Linked DNA regions of Daphnia pulex. Each later gene encodes a partner of the first gene's protein in a complex. Links are inferred from orthologs where the notes say so. Each region holds a gene or a part of one and is shown in the gene's direction. Other genes may lie near its edges.

Region 1 (11,196 bases):
GAGTACGATTTTACCATCAATAAGGAGACACTAAAATAGTACGGACGATTCTTTATTTTTACAATCCATTTTACGTTTTTGTAGGATTTGCTTAAATGATCATTTTTCCATCCAATGAATACACCGAGTGGACGTAAGGGAGAGCTAACGCTTTCTGTCCATACTGCTTTTTCCCTGCATGAGTATTCCCTTTCATATTTAAAGCATTCTGGCACAGTAAATTAACATCAAAATGAGTAAATTCACATCAGTCTTCATCTAAAGCTTAAGTTAAACATTTTTCAAACCTATTTCAGGTGTGATTCAAGCCCTTTTCGTCCATCAATCGATCCCTTTCTGTCCATTCTGCATCCTAAATTTTTGTATGAATCTCAAAATTTAGTTAAAATTAAGGTGGGAAGCAAACCTCCATCTACGCTGGACGTATTTTGGTAAGTGAATTCACTGCATTAATGCTCAGAATATGTCAAAGGGAAGGACAGCCAAGCCAAGAATTCGAACCAGAAAACGTCTGAAAGACTTTTGCTTGGCTTGCTACCAGGGCAATGTCAAAGTTAGCAGTTACTTTTATTTGTATCAGATGCCCATTCGTTACTAACCGACGGAGGAAAAGAAAGATATTTGAAGATAAAATGGGATCTACTCTAAAATAATCATCTTACAATTGGGTGCGCAAATAAGATCTCGATTATTTTTTTTATGTTAAATGGGGATATAGTTGCTGATATGGAAGAAGTGCAGGTCTGCAGGACCACAGCAAGTCAAGAGCTAACCGTTTCTGTCCTTGTGCATCCTAAAACGATTCTGTTTGGACACAGGGGGAAGCAACCCTCCATCCACGCTGAACTTCTTTTGGTAAGTAAACTTTTTGCAATAAGGCTTAGGAGAAGATGTCCAAGGGGAGGACAGCATATCATCGATGTTGAATACTTGTTAGCGCTACTGAAAACCCCTCCCTCTCTTATCCACGAAGAAATAGAAAGACTTCTGAAGGTTTGAGATCTCAGGATAAATGAACATGAAATCTACTCGGAAAAATCATCGGCAGACTTATGGTGTAAAGATCTCGATGATCTTCTGATGTTGAAGAAAATAGAAGATGTCGAACAAGAGCTGGCGTTCGAAGTTAAAGCCTTGAGAGAAAAGCTAATAAATCAAAACAAATTCCTAGCCGAAATAAGTTCTAAAGATCTGACAGTCGACTCAGAAAAGGTTTGCGTGATTTAATAAGTTTCAATTTAATTTATTCATGAACTTTTTTCGCTTCTCCTATCTTTTAGAAGTTTGATGTTTTTTTGGAGGAACTACGTCGTCAAACTATGCTCCAGGTTCTCTTATCACTTGGGAGAAGAAATCCAATTATCACCTGCATCAGTTGCCGATCCGCTTTCAAACCAACGAAGGAAAACAAGCTTATCTGGCGACAAAGATAAGGAGATACGTGAATGTGAACAGCTCATCTTGGACCAATCACCGGAAGATTTGTGGCAAAGAGATCTCGAAAAACTTCTGGTGATTTTAAATGAGGCTGAAGTTGCGGAATAGGAAAAATTGGCGTTCAAAATGTTTTGTTGTGGGAGTGACGCAAGTGCGAAGTATTTGGGTACAAACAATTTAAGTAGCAATAAGTAGCAGTTTTGAACGGTACGCAGATAGAGATAACGGAAATTCCCATTGGGGTCTAACCCAATTTTACAAGGAATCCGTTATGGAAAAAACAAGCAATATTAATTGGCGAAGTTTGTGACACAATTTTGCATGTCTTCTCCAAAAAGGTTTGCAGGATTTTCTAATTTATAATCTTTATATTTTCAAGAACTTTTTTCGTCTTTTGCCTAATCGTTTAGACAAGTGATTTAGTGGGCGAACTTCGTCAACGACATTATGATCCTCATCCAGTGCTAGCTTGGAAAAGTGCCCAAGTGCCCAACTGCTCATAAACCAGGAGGTGCCGGTTTAGCGGCAGGTCCCTCTTGGTGTCGCTTAACGACTGAATTGAAACAAAACGAAACGCAGACGACACTTTATCTAGGGGGGGGGGGGGTCGAAGAAAGAATACAATGCGCTCACTCCCCCAAACCCCCAATAAATCGACACCTTCCCGCCCACCCTCCGTCTAAAAAATCGACCCCTTCCCTAAATCTAAACCGTAAAAATGATAAACTTCCCCTTTTTCTTGGCGATGGCGATTTCAACACTTTTTTTAAATATTATTCGGCATTCTTCACTTAACCTTGCATTAAAATTAATTCTACACATAATAAAAAAGTTACAAGTTGAAAAAATTTTTAACATATAAATGTGGGGTTTTAAAGGGGGTAGTCCCCAATCTCTGCAACTCTGCATGGATTTAACGGCTATCCTATCCTTCCAGATGTTTCTGACACTTCCTAGCTGCAGATGCAGTGAAATTCTTTTTTTGACTAATAGATGGCGCCACATCTTGGGTTGGCCCGCGGATCCGGCGGTTCGACCCATCGCCCGCCCCGTTCAAAAAATGCCTCGGTGAGTTGAGTTGGGTTTTATTTCTTTAGCCCGAACAGTGGCCCGGGTTTTCATTTCCCGGGCCACAGCCCTAGACAAATCACAGACAAGCAGTCGGGGCTTCTCGGTAACGGCGAGATAGCCAGATAGTATAGTCAAATAAGCCATTTGACCCCAAACAAATTATTATCCGTTATTTCGTTCGTGAGCACTGTTTATACCATTACAATATAGTTCTGTTCAGAATCTCCGTGAAAAATATCGTGTAGAACATGTTTAAAAGTGATTTAAATTTTTTGTTTTTTTTAACCCGTGTAAACACACTTTTTGGTGGAAATAAAAGATTTAAAGAAATATGAAATTGTATTAAATCTTTCATTCTTTGATTGTACCAATTTTGGTGCAATTATGAATAAATTTAGTGTGCAAAAAAAATCAAACGTAAAACCCATTTTTCCGCGCGAAAAAGTGTTTTTCGTTTTTCACACAGCGCTTATGGGAAAAATGGGTTTTTTAAAAACTGTGTTTTCATGACATCTTAGCACATTTCTTTTCTTGTGTGTTTGAGCTTGTCACTTGTCAACAGATCTGTCAAAAAACACAAGAAAAGACTAAACAGCATCCCAGGCTTGCACTTTCTTTAATTTTAATGGGTAAACTAAGCTGAATTAGACATTTAAAATTACTCTATAAAAAGCAGAATGTTCTAAACAACGATAATCCTGAACATTTCTAAGATTAGATAAGTAATTCTATGCTTATATAATAAAAAACCCGCTTTCTACTATCCCCACAACGTTAAAAGGACCCGTTGGCGCACGATCCTAATTTAGCGGTTGTGCAACTCAGCATCCCGAACTTGTCTATTCTAAAAATACAGGGTTAAAGAGAAATAAAATAATATCAAATTTTGATTGGAATCAAAATTGATTCGGCAGATCACTAGAGTAGGCTATGCTTCTACGCGTACCATTAACTTCCATACCCCTGGCACAAGCAGCAGAAATTTGAATCATTTTCCATTGGAAATTTTGGATTGGATCACGCCCTATAAAACAAATTTCGCAACTTTTGCCGCGCCATGCTTACATCGATATTTTATTTATTCGATAATCGATTTTTTTGCTAATCGTCGTCTGCAGAGTCTTTTTACGCCAAGTCTTGGAGAACCTGTTAGGCTGTTACCCTATATAACACCAGATAACACGTGTTAAACGTGTTAACTTTTTTGTTTTTAGAAGATTCCTAGTTTATCGTCTAACAATGGAGTATATGGAGGAGGGATCTGAAGAATCTTCACTTGCCTGCAAAATGTAATGACAAAATAATGTTGCATCTCTTTTCTTGGATTAAATTCAAGTTTTCTATATTGCAGTCTCTGCTGTCAGTGTGGAACTCCCATTGAACCTAATCCTGCAAATATGTGCGTTGCATGTCTTCGTACCCAAGTCGACATTTCCGAGGGTATTCCGAAGCAGGCTGTTATCTATTTCTGCAAAGGTTGTGAGAGGTAAGATGGTAGACAAAATTGTTTTTTTTTCAAACTCGTTTCATCGCTATCTTGTTATTCAGATATCTTCAACCTCCTGAACAGTGGATTAAGTGCTCACTAGAGTCTAGAGAGCTCCTAGGACTCTGTTTGGCTAAACTTAAGGGACTCAACAGAGTCAGGCTTATTGATGCTGGGTTTGTTTGGACAGAGCCTCATTCTAAGAGAATCAAGGTTAAACTGACAATTCAGGCTGAAGTTTTGGGAGGAGCCGTTTTGCAACAAGTGTTTATTGTTGATTTTGTTGTTAATGGACAGTTTTGTGAAGATTGTCATAGAGTTGAGGCCAAAGACTTTTGGAAAGCAAATGTAAGTGAATAAGAACATTTGGAAAGTATAGAAAATTTGATTTAATTATCATTAAAATTACGTTTTAGGTACAAGTCAGACAGAAAACTGATCACAAAAAGACCTTCTATTATCTGGAACAGTTGATTTTGAAACACAAAGCCCATGAATCTACATTGGGGATTAAGCCAACTCATGAGGGCATTGATTTTTTCTATGCCAATGAAGGCCAAGCCAAGAAGATGTTGGACTTTTTGACATCTGTTGTTCCATGCCGTTATCAAGTATCAAAGACCGTGATATCTCAAGATATCCACAGCAACACATACAACTGCAAATTCACCTACAGTGTTGAAATAGTTCCAGTTTGCAAAGATTGTGTTGTATGTTTGCCAGCCAAACTGGCTCACCAGCTTGGAGGAATAGGACAAATTTGTGTTGTCCAACGAGTGTCGTCTACCATCCATCTGATCGATCCATTTTCGGGACAAAGTACGATTTATAATTTCAAAGTTTTTAAAGATTCAGTTTACCTATTTATAACATTAATAGTTGCCGAAGTTAATTCGAATACCTACTGGCGGACACCGTTCAATGCCCTTAGCGGAACCAAACAGCTGGCAGAGTATGTTGTCATGGATATTGAGGTTATTCGTGACCATGAAAAACGGACATTTGCTGGACAGGGCGCCATGTCTTTCAAAGTAATTGAAAAAAAGATTTTCCTAGATCACTCGCAAGTAATGAAATTATCGTTTGCAGCATGTATTGGCAGATGTTTATGTCTGTCGTCCTAATGAAATGGGAACGAATGAGATTCACACTAGAACTCATCTTGGACATTTGCTTAAACCTGGCGACATTGTTATGGGGTAATTTTTCATGTCTTTACTTACCTTGAAGCAGTTTTTTATCCAATTACCAATTTCTAGATACGACCTGGCTAATTGTAATGTTAATGATGACAATTTTGACAAAATGAATCGTGAGAACATGCCAGATGTCGTGTTGGTTAAGAAGATGTACGCAGACAAGTCTGTTCGTAATCGTCGGCGTAAGTTTAAGCTTCGCCACTTGGACGCTGATGGAATGGATGTTACAAGCGTTAATCGCGATTATACCGATTTCTTGGAGGACTTGGAAGAAGATCCAGCTTTCCGTCAGAACATTGTATGTTCTTTTTTACCTATTTAAATTATTGTTGCATTACTAACACTTGCGTATTTTTATTAGAATATCTACAAAGACGAAAGGAAAGTTGGATTTGCCGTTGAGGTTGGAGAACCAGACGAAGAAATCCCCCAAATTACTCTACAGGAAATGTTGGACGATCTACATATTGGCGACGAAAATCCTTCAAGTGGGGCCTCGGTATTGGCAGCTGAGTAGAATTTTCAGAACCAAGTGGTCAGTTGGTGACAGCATTGTATGTCTACAGCGAATACATATTACTCCTGGTGGAATTGTTTATTTTAACGAATTTTTATTGTAGTTAAGGTTTAAAAAATAGATCTTGATACGAAGTAAATTTTGTTAGCAAATTATTGTTGTTTGGACTAGTCTAATTATTTTTTAAACACAGTATCCTATCCTGAGCGATAGTATATAATTACGTTTATTTACAAGGTGTCGGTATATTAATATTCTCCTTACACAAAATCAGTCTGACCCGCAAAGCTTTTGAAACGGAGGGAAAGACTTATCCTTAATAGTACGTTTCAAGAGATTTTCAGATTTCTTTAAATTAGTCTCAGAGGTAGTACTTTGTTGTAATTCCAGTAGAGAATCTGCACCCTACATTAAATTTGTGTGTAAAGTTAATTATTAAAACAAATATTTAGAAGGCATATTTACCTTTTTCCAAGCAGTGACCTTGGTTCTGATATTATTTATTTCTTCTCCAAATTCTAAAAGTGGAGCAGAGGATCCACTTTTGGGAAGACAGATTTTTAAATCAGAGTTGAAAATATCATTAAATTGATCAGCAGCAGCTTTCAATCTATTTGCTTGTTCAGTGAAGTTAGGGATGAGCAAATTGTCATTTTGCAGATTTTTCCTCAGTACAATCTGTTTCTTTGTAAATTGGTCTCTGCCTTTCATTTCATGAATTTGCTTAATCTCACTTTGTACATCAGCTGACAACAAAGTGGCCTTCATGCTAAAAGCATCCTAATATTTTAATATAGAGACTTTATGAGTAATAATATAGAGTACAATTTTCTCATTACCAAGAAGTTTTCCATGGAGACAAGGTTGCTCAAAGAACCACCACCAAAGGCAATATTTGTATTAATATGTGATTTTGCAAGAATTTGAAGGGGCTTGATCAAACGGTTCCAAAACTTTATTTGATCATATTTCGGTATGTCACCCTATTGATCAAAAAATTTTTATTTCTTGCAAGATCAGCAGACCATTTAAAACAACAAATAAAACTTACCTTAATAAAGGGTAGATCTTTTTTACTGCAAACATTTGCACCACACCAAAATCCAAGAATAGCTTTGGAAGGACAACATGTATTAATTCAGACTAACAAAAAATATATTAATAAAATCACCTTCATCACTCTCTGGCAATTTAATATTGCTGGAAGAACTAGAAGTAGCTGTGGAATCAAGATCTTGCAATTTTAATTGTGCTGAATGTAAAGTAGAAGGCAACGCACTTTCGATTGCCTTCGAAGTTATCCAAAGAATTAAATCCTTTCGTGGTTTCCCTGGTGTAAACAAGAGTTCCTCAATCCACCAATCATCAGTTCGGACGATTAGTGGACAATTAACTGACTGAAGAACATTAATAATTTCTGATATGTTCTCTTCAATCGTTGACATTTTCTAAAAAACAACGAGAAATTCTCGTCTACTTTCAAACTGTCAACAATTTGAACAAAAAATACAGCGTTGCCTGGTTGGCCATTAGCAGTCGTCTGCTTGGCATCTTTTAGACAATGGCAATGTTGTTCAATCCAAATATTCATTTGTTTACATTTCATTACTTTGTTCGACGCGCGTTCAAACGCCTAGCTTTAATCAAGTCGGCGTGAAAAACAGAGCAGCGTGTGTAGTATTAAGCTAACTGCGGGAAAGTCCATTTTTTAGTAATGGCAGGTGCCGTGGTTGAAAACCTGAGTAATCGAAAGTTGATTGTGTTGATATCTTTCCTCCTTATATGTCTTCTAGTATGCTTTCTTCTCGGCGGCTTGGTCGGTAAGTCTTAACTTCTGTCAGATGAACCTTTGTGACTCACATTTCTTAAAATAGCACCCCGTTAATAGAGAAGTCTGGTTTTCGGTGGTGGTCTGGCTTTTTCCTGTAAACATTTTTGAATGTGGGAAAGGGCATTTATCAGTAACTACATTCTTTTAATTTCAATTGCAGCTCCAGCACCATCCAATGTTCAGTCTGTTTTGGCCACAAAATGCTATGATAATAGTCAAAACAAAAGCAAATTCTTTTATGTCAGACCTAATGGTGGTTGTGACAAGATTGATGATTTGCATGGGCCTGAAGCAGAGGAGAGACATATAACTGATAAAAATGTTGTTTTTGCTTTCCAGGTATGTAATCTAAAATTTAGAGTATTTTGAAAGGTTTTAAGTGTCAAGTCTGTTAATTTTGTAGTTACCTCTACCACGTGGAGGAATTGAATTGGACTACTCTCGGTGGATGCAAAATCTTATTGGAATTTTACAAATTGATGTTACCTATTTTAAAGGTAAAATATTTTTTAATTTTTAATATTTTGTTCTGTTCCCTTTCTTCAGTATTGATTTTATAGAAAGGGAGCTAATGGAACCCAGAGTTCCTGTTACAATTGAAGCCAGGCTTGGTTATCGGAACAAGGGAGATCCTGATGATGAGTGGAAGGAGTATGCTACATCAACTGAAAGCAGAACTATGGATTGTTCACCTCCTGAAGTAATAATTTATTTATTTTTCTGAAGGATGAAATGACGAATTAAGTTTTTGTAATTTTCGTTTTTTTAGTGGGATGATGGTTACCTTTATAATTGCCCTCTTCTACCACTGTTTGAACTTGGTGCATTACATCATGACTACTACCTTCTGAATCTGCGATTCCCGATGATATATGAAAACAACCGAGGCCTCGGTCCTGTATCCGATCTTTGGCTTGTCGTCATTAATCAGAATGGTGGTTTTACCAAAGTTTGGTTGTCTTTGAAGACAATTTTCTTTCCCATGGTAGTAGGAGTCATGATCTGGTTTTGGCGTCGTGTTCAGTTATTAGCTAGGCAACCCACGTTATTGGAATCAATGCTCTTGGCTCTTGGCGTCGCTTTATCTACTTTAAATCGTAATTTAATCAGAAGTTTTATAAAATAATGTGTTTTGCTGACTCCTCTGTTGTTCTTTTACAGTTCCCCTTGAGTACTTAACCCTGAGCTTTGAAATGCCTTTCATGCTTCTTTTGGGAGATATGAAACAGGGTATTTTTTACTCGATGCTATTATCTTTCTGGCTTGTTTTCGCCGGAGAACATCTCGTGGTAATGTGTTAATTTTTTTCATTCGCTTTACTAGCATATAACTCAACTAATGCTCTAATTGATTTCTAACATCCACACAAAATCCAACATTTTAGAATTAGGTATATTTGTTTTATGACATTTGTTTTCAAATTTATGTTAATATGTTAAACATGTAGGATGATACTGAAAGAAAAGGACTAAGAGGTTATTGGAAACAGCTTAGCTGTGTTGGAGTTGGTTGTTTGTCCATGTTCATCTTTGACATGTGCGAAAGAGGCATCCAACTTAGGAATCCGTTCTATTCTATTTGGGCGAATGAAATTGGGACACAAATCGCGGTAAATTATTAATTGGTTACAGCTTTGCTTGACATTTTGTTTCTTCATTCGTCAATTTTGTTTGTTTTATAGCTGAGCTTTGTTATTATTGCTGGAATCGCTGCTGGAGTTTACTTTCTTTTCTTGTCATATATTATTTATCGTGTGTTCCGCAATATCAGTGCTAAGCGTCAGGCGTTGCCTGCAATGGCGTCCGCTCGCAGACATTTCTATGAAGGTGTCATTTACAGATTCAAGTTTCTTATGCTGGCCACTCTACTTTGTGCTGCTATGACCGTCATTGGATTCATTCTTGGTCAAGTAAGTTATTTTAAGTGCATCGTATGAGCAGAGCTCTTTAACACCATTACTGTCTCAGGTATCGGAAGGCAAGTGGAAATGGGATGAGGACATCAATTTGGAATATACGTCTGCTTTCTTCACTGGAGTGTACGGAATGTGGAACGTTTACATATTGGCACTGCTTTGCTTGTATTCTCCATCTCACAAGCGCTGGCCTAGCGAGAGTGGTCTGTTAAATTTGGAAAAATAATTATTTCTTTACGTGAAAGAATGTATGTTTCTATTAGCGTAATAGTGCGCTCTCTATATTTGCAGAGATTGTCATGGAGGTATGAATTCCTTTTGATTTTCTCTTTTTTATCGCCTTACATATTAATTGGTATTTAGGAACTAAGTGGAGAGGATTTAAACGAGAGGATGGGTGAACTGCGTGATCAATTATTGGATCCTCTTCTGGAACACTTGCATGACGTTCATTCTTTCATTAGAAGTAAAACGCTTCAGCTATGGCACAAGCTGAGCCTTAAGCACGCCATCCCATTAAACTTGCAACACAAAGTTTTAACCATGACCACCGGTCGTTAAAATGATAAGACTGGCACCTTTCGTAAGAATGCCGTTCAATTATTGATTTCTTCAAATTAGTCTCAGAGGTAGTACTTAGTTGTAATTCCAGTAGAGAATCTGCACCCTATATTAAATTTGTGTGTAAAGTTAATTATTAAAACAAATATTTAGAAGGCATATTTACCTTTTTCCAAGCAGTGACCTTGGTTCTGATATTATTTATTTCTTCTCCAAATTCTAAAAGTGGAGCAGAGGATCCACTTTTGGGAAGATAGATTTTTAAATCAGAGTTGAAAATATCATTAAATTGATCAGCAGCAGTTTTCAATCTTTTAGCTTGTTTAGTGAAGTTAGGGATGAGCAAATTGTCATTTTGCAGATTTTTCCTCAGTACAATCTGTTTCTTTGTTAATTGGTCTCTGCCTTTCATTTCATGTATTTGCTTAATCTCACTTTGTACATCAGCTGACAACAAAGTGGCCTTCATGCTAAAAGCATCCTAATATTTTAATATAGAGACTTTAAGAGTAATAATATAGAGTACAATTTTCTCATTACCAAGAAGTTTTCCATGGAGACAAGGTTGCTCAAAGAACCACCACCAAAGGCAATATTTGTATTAACATGTGATTTTGCAAGAATTTGAAGGGGTTTGATCAAACAATTCCAAAACTTTATTTGATCATACTTTGGTATGTCACCCTATTGATAACATTTTTTTAATTTCTTACAAGATCAGCAGATCATTTAAAACTATAAATAAAACTTTCCTTTATAAAGGGTAGGTCTTTTTTACTGCAAACATTTGCACCACACCAAAATCCTAGAATAGCTTTGGAAGGACAACATGTATTAATTCAGACTAACAAAAAATATATTAATAAAATCACCTTCATCACTCTCTGGCAATTTAATATTGCTGGAAGAACTAGAAGTGGCTGTGGAATCAAGATCTTGCAATTTTAATTGATTGCCTTCGAAGTTATCCAAAGAATTAAATCCTTTCGTGGTTTCCCTGGTGTAAACAAAAGTTCCTCAATCCACCAATCATCAGTTCGGACGATTAGTGGACAATTAACTGACTGAAGAACATTAATAATTTCTGATATGATCTCTTCAATCGTTGACATTTTCTAAAAAAACAACGAGAAATTCTCGTCTACTTTCAAACTGTCAACAATTTGAACAAAAATACAG
Region 2 (11,041 bases), on another chromosome or scaffold:
ACCAAGAAGAGACAAATGTTTCAACCAGATATAATGTGCACAAATTATTGTCTTTAGCTGAATGTGGTGTTTGAAATAACAATGACAATTTTGTTTGCATACAAGGAGAACCTCGTGATACGATTTCTTTTATTTTTCATATCCACTACATCATATCTTTGCCATTTGATGTACATATTTGTTTCCCACTATAACGCAGCCAACTTAAATTTCTAGACGGGTTGTTTAAGGAGAGTGGTGTAACGTTCAATCTTTGATGCCAAACTCATGTCGATGTAGCGATCTCCAAGGACAACTACAAGTCCACCAACAATGGAGGGATCCACCTTGGTTGAAATCTTGAGACTGTCCTTTCTGGCTTCTGCAAGAATCCAGAAAGAGCGGCAGTAACCTCTTTCAATGTAGCAGCATCCAAGGCCTTGATATAAGAATAGATTTTTTTAAACATGTAATTGTTTAATTTTTTTTAGATTTATATTTTACCTTGGCTGAGGTGACCTCACATACAACTTAACCTCTGAATGCAGCCATCATGTTAAAGAAATGGCCAGTGACAACATCCAATTTGTTAAGTCTTCCATTCTCAGCAAGGAGTTCTGTAATCATAGCCATATGAATAACAATTAGAATAAAGTGAAAACCAATAGAAAATAAAAACTTACCAAGGAAGTTGCCTGTAACAGCACTCATTTTCAATTTCTTGGCAACTGAAATAAGAGCATCTTTCTTAAGTGATCTCTTCAAAGTGGGGTTGGCAATGAATTCTGCCAAACGAGAATCTTTGGCGATAGTTGCATGAAAGTCCTTCAACTCGCTTTCAACTTTGTCCAAAGATTTCTGTTTGGAAGCAGCAGAGTAGAGTGCTGAGGCATAGCGACCATACAACCCAAAAACTTGGACTGGAGCCTATAACAATTACACAATTAGGTTAAAATGTACCTGTACCACACTCACATGATTTACCTTCACCAACTGCTGGGATGATGAACTGGTGCTGAAGTTACGAGCCTAATAGTTGGAAAGTAAAAACATTCATTGAAAATAGTACAACATTTTATAAATTACGGCAAATTAATTTAGGATTGTGCGAAAACAACCGGCTATTCAAAATCGAATACGGCTTGAAACTTAGAGGTTTGACAGTTGGATATTTCTACCTTTTTATTATGGAAAACCTTTTATTATTGTTTTTCACTTCTTGTAGAAAAGTAAGCTGTGATTGGCCAATGAGTTTTTCATAGACCCTTCCTGATTGGCTGGCTTCACGTAGTAGCTGACACACTCACTAGAGGCGCTCATCCATTTTTCCCAATCGGCTTACGTTTACCCTGAAACCGGGATAGGGAAGCCAACACAGCCATGAACTGACCAGGTATCTATAGCTCTGATATTAAAAAAAAACCTGTCACCTTGTTTTATTTCGTCTTACTCGTCAACGTCGCATCGTCTCTCCGCTTCAAAAAAGTTTAAGCGGCCGTTGAGAAACGTCGTACTCTCGTTATTTTCAGAAAATTTTGTGATTTCAGATAATTAGAAGACTGATTTTTGAATTGCTCTATAATTTTCCCAATGCTTTCTACAAAATCATTGGAATTGAAAGAAAATTTGTCGAAGCGGAAATCGGAGGTTGACAAGTGCACGATACCTCCCAGCAAGGAACCTCGCATTGAAACAGAAACAGATAAGGGCAAAGAAGAGATCGCTAATAGTTTCAATACTTACCAATATTGGAAAGATCCGCTTCCTGACATCAGTTTTGAACTTGGTACAAATATTGTAAGCCCAAGGCAGGCTGAGTAAAATGGTAGGCAACAAACACATTGAAGAGATATTTACCAAAAGCCAACATTCCATTGCTGATCACCCCAAACTAGTAAAGAACCTTAGAAAAGTCTATGACCAAATTGAAGATGTAGATTCTTTTAATCAACATTTTATTAAATGCTTCAAGTGTCTCTTGATTCATGGAGAAAGGGAGACTGCTGTTAACTTTTGTTTAGATTTTGCAGCCAAATTTGCAACATCGTTTGAACTGGAAAAAGATCCAGAAGATGAAGATGGTGAATGCCACCCTTTCTATGAAAAACTTTTTGATTTTCTTTTGTCCCATCACAATGTCAAGAGCCAGGCTGTTCGATTTAGAGTGTGCCAGTTCATTAATAGAATGCTAGAAGAGTTGAATGAGTCTGCTTGCATCAGCGCAGAACTTTTTGAAAAAATTTATGATGCCATGCTTGAAAGAATTCAAGACAGAATTGCCTCAGTTCGGGTCCAGGCTGTCATTGCCTTACAGCGCCTGCAAGATCCTACCAACAAAGAATGTCCAGTTATTAAGGTAACTTGGCGTTAAAAATGTTTTTACTTTTCTGTATTTAAAAAATGTTTCACCCTTGTACAGGCATTAGTTTTCCATTTGGAAAGAGATCCTCATCCCGAAGTACGTCGAGCTGTACTTAAGGCACTTGGATGCAATTATTTTACGCTCGAATTCGTTTTGGTCAGGCTGCGTGACGTCAAAGACCTTGTTCGCAGGCAGGCCTATATCTTCATTAGTGAGAGGTATGTGGAAGAATAAACAATAATTGCATGCTGTCTATTTTTATCTTCATTTATTTTCATTTTTAGAGTTCATGTCCGAACATTATCAATTGCCAATCGTGTGACAATTTTGAACCTCGGACTCAACGACAAATCAGCTGCTGTGACGACCATGGTGCAGGACAAACTTATCCCTGCCTGGATCAACGCCATGGAAGGCTCCATCTTCAATTTCCTGCGTGGTCTTGATGTGGAAGGCTGCAGCGATACTGCTGTTCAAGTCTTGCAAGTTTGGTTGAAAACGCTCAACTACAAGGAGATAACATCTCAGTTGCCTATTGGTGAAGAAAATCTGGTTAGTATCGAAGCGTTAAAGCCAGAAGTGGCTCTTTATTGGTGCACGGCCGTTTCTTTCCTGCGAAACGAGGGAGTTCATGCAGCAGATGCTCTTGAAACCATTATGCCAGAAATGACAGCGTTTGGGAAATATTTGAAAATTTTCGTTTTGGCAAGGCTTACCGAAACCGACGACATGGAGGTAAAAACATTGTATTTCCTAAAATTGTATTCTTTCGTTAAAACATGTCATTATGTATGCCATTAGGTATTGAGTATGGAATTTATCGTTGCCAACTTATTGGAGATGGCACAACACTTTGACCTTGCGGATGAAGCGGGTCGCTTGAACTTGCGACGCGATCTCTGCGATCTTTTACAACACGAAAAGACTAGCCCAGCATTGACTCGTACCATGGTCAAGTGTATTAGTCTGATTGAGCCCAATTTGGATGTTCGCATCGCCAAATTGCTTGAGGTCATTTCAGAGCTGCGAGAGCCACTAACTCAGGCGGAAGTACTCATTCCAGAAGATCAGCAGCGAAGAAACAAATTAGAGGTGAACTGGCTTATTGGATCCAAAAGAAATTCATTTTTTGATTCATTATTATTTCTGAATAGATTGCTCAATGCCGAGTCCAGGTGAACGAATTAAAGGAAGAATTGCAGGAGGCCATTGACAAACAAAACTTTCTTGGTGCCCAAGAGATTCAACAAAAGATGGTCGTTTTGGAGACGAAACTAAGCGAGTTGTGCAGTCGGCCCACCACTCATGACGTTGAAGTGTTCCGCGAAGAGAGAGATGATCCCTTAACACTACTAAAGTGTCTCAGCACCGTTTGCGAGCTGCTAAAAAATTCGCCGGTATATTTCATTCTTATTTTTAAAAATCAGTAACATTGCTGGTTAGTAATGATTCTTTTTTATTAGATGCTTAAATTGACGAAAGAATTGGACCAACTTTTAATGTCTCTGATCTTGCCTTGCGTCGAGAGAATCGATCCAGCTGTCCGAAATGCCGCTTTCGAAGCTTTGGGTTGCCTGTGTACTTGCGACTTGGAACTGGCCCAACAACGTTTGCTCTTGTTTGTACAAGCAGTTCAGATGGATCACCAAATCCTTCAGATCACAACAGCCAAAGTTCTCTTTGATCTCGTTCAATTATTTGGTCTTTCCGTGAGTCATGCATTACTCTTATTTTATTCATCAAGAAACTTAAATCATACATGATTCATTTCAGACTTTTGAGGACCAAGAGAGTGGTACATCTCTAGCTACAGTGCTGACTGATCTGTTGGATAGTGAAGATGCAGATGTTCAAACAATTGCTGTCGAGGGTTTCGCTAAACTATTGATTGCTTCCCGGTATGTATTTTTGAAATGTCAGTAAAATTTTTCCTTTTCGTTGTATTAATAACTTAAATGTGACATGTAGAATTGAATCGTCCATGATTCTTTCGCGCTTGGTCATTTTCCTGTTCCACCCGCTGACGGATGAAAACGTTCGTCTGCGTCAAGTCCTCCACGTCTTTTTTCCTTTCTTTGCTTCCATGGATATTGCAAACCAACAGCAATTGGAGGCGGCTTTCGTACCGACTATCAAGACCATTCAAAAGGCCCCGTGTACTTCTCCTTTGGCGGAGATAGACATTTCCATGATCGTCAAATTCTTTGTCGACTTGACACAGGTAACTTAATGTTACAAGCCTTAACATGAATTACAAATATCTTAATTACAAGTAACCTAATTTTGTTATATTTGCTATTTAGGAAAGTTTATTAGCCGCCAAGCCTGAGGTCGATCACACCATCCACGATCAACTCGCTATGAAACTTTGTACTGAATCGATGCGATCTCCTGATACGAACGAAAGTAAAGTCTACCTCAAGGCCTTGTTGCAGTTGAACATGTCGTTCTCCAATCCGTCAAACACTAAAGACTTGCACACTCTTATCCGGAAAATGCTTCGAAATTTCAGAGAGAAGGGTTCCATCAGAATGATTGAGCAATTTGAATCTATCGTAGAAAAGCATTTGACGGCTAATGCGGACTCGGCCAAGTCTGCTACTGAAAACGATTCCGATATGGAAGTTGAACCTGTTATTGCTCCCCCATCTCCTCCCATCAATAAGCCAAGAACAAGAAAATTAGGAAGTAAACATGCAGCGACTCTTTTAATGGATACTAGTAGCGACGTCGATGTCTCCCAAAGTTCCGATGTTTTCTTCAGCCCAGAAAAGACAAGCACTCAAAAGGAAAAACCTCGTGAAAAATCACCCGAGGTTGTTATTGAACAAATGGATGAGGTTGTTATTGAACAAATGGATTTAAGGTGATTACATATTTAATTTCGCTTTCTACGTGTTATTTTCATCAAATTTTCGTTCGTTTAGTTCGACCACAAACAGCGAGAAAACTGTACCTTCAAGAACTCGACGACAGGCTCCACGCAGCGTTTCCGTTGTCGCTGAGGAACGAACAACACCTCCTCCTTCCTTACCTCGTCGTAGAACACGATCGACTAGATCAGTCGTTGTTTCCAGTGTCGACGAGGACAGTGTTCCCGTTGACGATGGGGACCGAACACCTCCTTCCCCACCTCGGCGTAGAATACGATCAACGAGATCAGTTGTGGTTTCCAGTGTCGACGAGGACGGTGGGGAACAAACAACTCCTTCCCCACCTCTGCGCAGAACACGAACGACGAGACCAGCCGTGATTTCTAGTTCCGACGAGGATGAAGATGTTATACCTCCGACCCCACCTCCAAATAAAAATACTAAAAAGTCGGCAAGATCAACCAGGAAGCGTTGATAAAACAAATTTTTTTTTCTTCATTTTTCTATCATCTTTTTTTTTCTCCTTTACAATTTTACTTACTTTCCTGTAAGAGATATTAATACAAATAAATTTCGGTCACTTGAGCAATTCCAGAATGTTTCACTAGAAAAATAACTCATTTGTGACATTGTGTGACATTGTGAAATTCAAATATCATACTGTGATATGCCGGTAGATGTCTTGATCAACGATCGCTTCTGGATTTTTGATCACAGATCACTCGTCTGTCTCTGTAGGCTACGGTCTCCGGTGTCTTGTTTTGAGAGCAGACTGGAGTACGTGTTTAAATAGTTTATTCGTCATTCCTGAGGGTTTGTTTAAGTTTTAAACAAGTATATCCCATTAGATTTAAAATGGGTGAAGCTCAAATGCCAAAACCAGTTAGGTTTGCTATTGGAGGTTTGTCAGGGTAAGTTGTTACAGTCTTACTTTATTTATATATAAGTTTTATTAACAAGGATTTTGTCAATTTTAGAATGGCTGCCACATTGTTTGTCCAACCTATGGATCTTATTAAGAACAGAATGCAGTTGAGCGGTGAAGGTGGCAAAGCCAAAGAACACAGGAACACTTTGCACGCAATTAGATCCATCATGATGAAAGAGGGTATCTCTGGCATGTATTCTGGTTTATCTGCAGGCCTTCTGAGACAGGCAACCTATACAACAACTAGGCTGGGAATTTACACATGGCTGTTTGACACCATGAGTGGGTTAGTAGGACTGTGACCTTGACAAATGTTATAGTTCAATACATCTATATTGTTTTTTTATTTCTAGTCCTGATGGAAAACCACCAGGTTTTGCAACAAAAGCTGTGCTTGGAATGGCTGCTGGAGTTGTAGGAGCATTTGTGGGAACCCCAGCTGAGGTAATTTTAGTGAAAAAGGGCACATGGTAACAAAAAGTTACCGGTATTCATTACTTATTATAGGTTGCCCTTATTCGTATGACAGCAGATGGAAGACTGCCAGAGGCAGACAGAAGGAATTACAAGCACGTCGGTGACGCGTTGGTTCGGATGGTCAGGGAGGAAGGATTGGTCACTCTCTGGAGAGGTTTTTGCAATTTCCTTTGGAAATTTCCTTGGAAATTTCTCTTCCTTTTTGAATTTCCTTTTAAATCTCCTTTGAATTGATCGTAGGAGCGATCCCAACGATGGCTCGGGCAATGGTGGTAAATGCCGCCCAACTTGCTTCCTATTCTCAAGCTAAACAATCTCTCATGTCAACTGGTCAGTCTAGTCTTTAACGCCCACATTTATAGCGCAAAAACTAAACGGCTCTTTTTCTCTAGGTTATTTTAGTGAAAACGTGATTCTTCACTTCTGGGCTTCCATGATCAGTGGTCTAGTTACGACAGCCGCTTCTATGCCTGTCGACATTGCAAAAACTAGGTAACTACGTCGTATTATCATCGATTAGTATCGAAAGATAAGAGAAAATAACATTTTTGGCATTGATTCAGGCTGCAAAATATGAGGTTCATTGACGGCAAGCCAGAATACAAGGGCGCAGTCGATGTACTGGGTCGCGTCGTACGCAACGAAGGAATCCTAGCTTTGTGGAAGGGATTCACGCCGTACTACGCACGCATCGGACCGCACACAGTTCTCACCTTTATTTTCCTCGAACAGATGAATACGTTTTACAAGCGAAATATTCTCGGTCTCAAGGACGCCAAAGGAGGTGGCATTTAAATTGTCTTGTCAATAGAGAGAAGCTTTGGTAGAAAATCATCAAGCCTGATATTTAGTCTGCAATCCATGTTGTCGACACGTTAAATTGGTGACTGTGAATGTAATTTAGGTGGATTTTGTTATCAAATAAAAAGGTATAAAACACATATCGATTTTGTAAGACAACTTTATTAAGAATTACTCCAAGTGTGTGCTGGAAGCACCCTTTTATACACTTTAACAAATGAATTCGATTGCGCAAAATAACTAGTGAATAACGAGTGACTAGTCATACTGTACAAGCTCTATACACGTTTTTTTTTCTTTTTTCTTAAGTTAAAAAAAAAGGCACAATCTAAATAGTCAGAATAACTATCACAATTCGATATTTTGCGCGAAAGACAAAGCTGATTAAGAAAAAGGGGTTTGGGTGGGAGATTACATGAATGAAGACTTTTGAAAACAGCGACGGCAGTTCATTATTCCGAACCAGTGTACCGCTTTTCGTTTACCAAACTAAAATCGAAAACCGGTTAGTTATTAAGAATATTATGATTATTCTAATTATTATTTTTACCTGTTGAGCACGTAAACTGTGGCCTCGTATGTGGTCATCATAATGGCCGTGTTGGGAATTTGCCGGATCAACTGCGTCGACAGTCCACGATAGAGCCCTCGATGTCCCTCTTCGCGGAAGACTGTGTGCAACGTTTGAAAAAATCCCCTGTAACGTGAATTCTCTTCACGCAGCCTGGTCCTAACCACTTCATGCGGATAGGACACACAACAAGCCACCGTCTTGCTGATGGCTCCTGCTAGCATGTAGTCCATGGCTTGGTAGTTGCCCAGTGGACTGTCCGTCTGCGTTTCCCGCATCTGTTGCAGGGTCGATTTCAGGTACTCGTAAAGTACAAACTTAATTATGGTCTCTGAGATACCGAAATATGAGGCTGTTATTCCTCTGTAAAAGCCAACAACACCCTAAAGAAAAAAGAATTCCAAAATTAGATTGGTGGCGCTGGCTGAGCCTGTTACGTAACGTCACGACGAATTGGTTTCCAAATTACCTGACTACGATAGATGTTGGAAATGCACTGCCAAGCTGTGACGTTTTGATTGCGATTGAGCTGCAGACGTGTCTTGACGAACCAAATTGGATTGGTTAAAGTGCACGACACAAATCCTGTGGAAACAGGAAGAAGTTAATAAAAAACGATTAATTTATGGATCTGTTCAATTTGCGAATGACGTACTACGTAGGCCACAACGAGTTCCTTAACCGTCCCAAGGACGAAACGGGAAAATGCGCCATATCCGCGAATGTTAGAAACGGGCTCTATAGGTAGACTACGTAATAATGCCCTCCTTCCCGCCCGGAGTGGATTTTGTTAACTTATTCAAAGTCTGGGCGAACCTTGGGCAGGAGCACGGCTTGTGCACGTGTTCCGTTTTTAAAAATACACCAGACCATTCTTCCAAGGAGGGGGGAGAGAGAGAAACGGCAACTGGGCATTCGTTACGTGAATCACGTAGGTAAGTGGAGAGAGAAAAAAAGACGGCTGAGCCAACCAACCGGACAAGTCTGGTTTTTTCACCCTTTGATGCTGACCCGCATACGAAATTAATTCAATTATTTTCACATAGAAAACCCAGGGTGAATCAGCTAATACATTCTTCCTAATGACTTTGTCTTCTCTTCCATGCATTCTTTTTAAAAGGAATATATAATTTGTGCAACGTCATTTTAAAGCAAGTTTTAACCCCCCTCCCGACTGCCAGCAAGAAGTGAATTTTGGGCTAAATGCCAAGTTGGTTATTGCGTTAAAAAGTGACAACTAAAAGGGAAGAGAACAACTAATACAAGGACGTCCTTCTATGTCTAACTAAAGCGATATGGGCGAAAAACCGGCCTCGACTGGACAGAAAAGAGAAATTTTGCGCAACTAGACGTGAGGGACATATTTACCTGCAGAGCCAGCCGAGAGCATATGGACCAAGTGAGAATCTGGAGTCATGATCTGGTTGAATTTTCGTTTGGCCGTTGAATAGGTGCAAAAATATAGGGCTCTAGTGGGGGCCACTCCAATCAGGTTTGGTCCCAAACCTTTGAATAGCGCCCGGCATCCTTCTTGGTCGATCAGGTGCCTACGTGAGAAGGCAAAGAATTTGATCAATTAACCGTTGTTCTTATCGAAATCCACACCTTATCTCCTTTTTATAGTTCTAGTTTTTATTATCGTTTAAATGTATATATGTAGAGCAAACAAACAAGTCAATTAAAGGATTAAATATTCCGTTTGTTTCATAGAATTCCCTTTTCTTACCGAAAACAAGAAAGGGCTCCTTTGGGTTGGGCGGAAGACGCCGGCCAAGGGAGGACGGCTTCAGGAAACACAGCCAACCTCGAATTGACGGACGAGCATTGTTGGTGATGATAATAAACGTTCCAGTTCATTTCTGGAGTGAAATACATGTGATTGGCGCTGCATCCTGCGTTGGACGAAGCTGTTCGCAGGGAGCGAACTGCACTGTAGTGGATTTCAGAGGAAGACGATTGCAGGCGAGTCTTGATAACTTCAAGTGGGCACGTCACTATGGCTCCCACAGTACCACCAACCCTACGTCGTCACAGAAAAGAAACATTAAAAAATTGAGTCCTAGCAACGAGAATGGGTCAACGAGTGCGTTGGGCTAGCCAAAAATGTCGCCTCTTAAAATACTAACTTCAAACAAATGCCAACTTGTCTTTGGAATGGTTTAGTAGCCTGCAACTTTCAAAGGGAAAAGTTGCTGCAAGGATTTGAAAACTGAAGTACGTATATTTTAGAGTTCGATGGCAAACACACTAGGATTCAAATTACAACATCTGGCTCAGAAGAAAGCCATTATTTTGGAATGCACAAACATCCCTCACTGCTTAAATTCTAGTTGTGGAGTGGACCAACTTAGGAGGGAAACTGAAATGGAAGATAACGAGAAGGGTACACTGGGCAAGATAACTGATGCAGGTAAGATAGGTTTTATAGGTTAAATGAAAACCATCTCCCTCACCCAAGTTAAAACCCAAGGCAACATAATGTAGTATGTAGTTTGAAAATTTTAATCCCTACCTCCCTTCTGACTAAGACTAAAGGAAGGGATGTCGGTGTGTTCGGCGTAATGGCCAAAATGGTTTCTGCCTAGTGGGGGGAAGAAGACGAAAAATGAACCGAAACGAAGAAAACGAAAAAAATCTTACCCGCCAGCGAAGAGATGGATGAATGTATCTGCATTCGACATAACACGTAATGCAATTGCACATCAATTAAGATGAAAGTAATATTTTTGTATAGTTAAATGTTTACCAAGACCAACCGGATTGGCCGAATTGTAAACATAAGTGTAGTTTGCTCTAAAGATGACGGAAGAATAAAACAAAATCCAACACGAGTTCGTTTTCAGCTGCTGGCCTGCTGCTGATCTGACTGGGATAGGTAAGGGAAATGGGGGTAGGGGACGGCGAACCAATGGCTCGTTCGCTATTGGGTATCTAAGCTACGACAGAGCCACCTAGCGCCGCGTGATGGAAAACCCAACGACGCAATTCCCACAAACACGCTTGTTTGTTTATCGGCTTTTCAGATCGATCAAACAAGAGCCCTCGGGCAG

The links.
Region 2: condensin complex subunit 1-like (region 1) and condensin complex subunit 3-like share a complex: the UniProt entries of both Homo sapiens proteins name them as parts of the condensin complex. The link is inferred for Daphnia pulex from reciprocal best matches to the Homo sapiens genes NCAPD2 and NCAPG.

What each region holds. Positions count from the first base shown.
Region 1 is NC_060021.1:6,806,222-6,817,417, reverse strand, and holds the start of condensin complex subunit 1-like, read left to right. Parts: upstream 1-7,296; 5' UTR 7,297-7,424; coding exon 7,425-7,530; intron 7,531-7,701; coding exon 7,702-7,880; intron 7,881-7,944; coding exon 7,945-8,038; intron 8,039-8,101; coding exon 8,102-8,241; intron 8,242-8,310; coding exon 8,311-8,638; intron 8,639-8,702; coding exon 8,703-8,830; intron 8,831-8,988; coding exon 8,989-9,150; intron 9,151-9,222; coding exon 9,223-9,450; exon of another isoform or gene 9,451-9,508; coding exon 9,509-9,659; exon of another isoform or gene 9,660-9,747; coding exon 9,748-9,761; exon of another isoform or gene 9,762-9,955; coding exon of another isoform or gene 9,956-10,123; intron 10,124-10,183; coding exon of another isoform or gene 10,184-10,498; intron 10,499-10,557; coding exon of another isoform or gene 10,558-10,572; exon of another isoform or gene 10,573-10,831; intron 10,832-10,889; exon of another isoform or gene 10,890-10,973; coding exon of another isoform or gene 10,974-11,129; exon of another isoform or gene 11,130-11,192; intron 11,193-11,196. Other genes in the region: 60S ribosomal export protein NMD3-like, read left to right, coding at 3,748-3,797, 3,860-3,994, 4,057-4,342, 4,411-4,813, 4,874-5,025, 5,084-5,193, 5,254-5,491, 5,555-5,710; uncharacterized protein LOC124193883, read right to left, coding at 9,956-10,123, 10,184-10,498, 10,558-10,572; uncharacterized protein LOC124193881, read right to left, coding at 5,981-6,115, 6,176-6,490, 6,550-6,693, 6,762-6,823, 6,882-6,999, 10,974-11,129. UniProt on the Homo sapiens protein: Regulatory subunit of the condensin complex, a complex required for conversion of interphase chromatin into mitotic-like condense chromosomes.
Region 2 is NC_060020.1:456,374-467,414, forward strand, and holds condensin complex subunit 3-like, read left to right. Parts: upstream 1-1,307; 5' UTR 1,308-1,801; coding exon 1,802-2,335; intron 2,336-2,398; coding exon 2,399-2,559; intron 2,560-2,625; coding exon 2,626-3,076; intron 3,077-3,142; coding exon 3,143-3,433; intron 3,434-3,495; coding exon 3,496-3,738; intron 3,739-3,804; coding exon 3,805-4,050; intron 4,051-4,114; coding exon 4,115-4,239; intron 4,240-4,309; coding exon 4,310-4,562; intron 4,563-4,644; coding exon 4,645-5,207; intron 5,208-5,263; coding exon of another isoform or gene 5,264-5,268; coding exon 5,269-5,689; 3' UTR 5,690-5,803; downstream 5,804-11,041. Other genes in the region: uncharacterized protein LOC124193140, read left to right, coding at 1-74; mitochondrial 2-oxoglutarate/malate carrier protein-like, read left to right, coding at 6,070-6,125, 6,192-6,428, 6,496-6,586, 6,650-6,773, 6,860-6,949, 7,012-7,111, 7,183-7,414; solute carrier family 25 member 36-A-like, read right to left, coding at 7,873-7,909, 7,971-8,374, 8,461-8,576, 9,360-9,538, 9,718-10,011, 10,632-10,672. UniProt on the Homo sapiens protein: Regulatory subunit of the condensin complex, a complex required for conversion of interphase chromatin into mitotic-like condense chromosomes.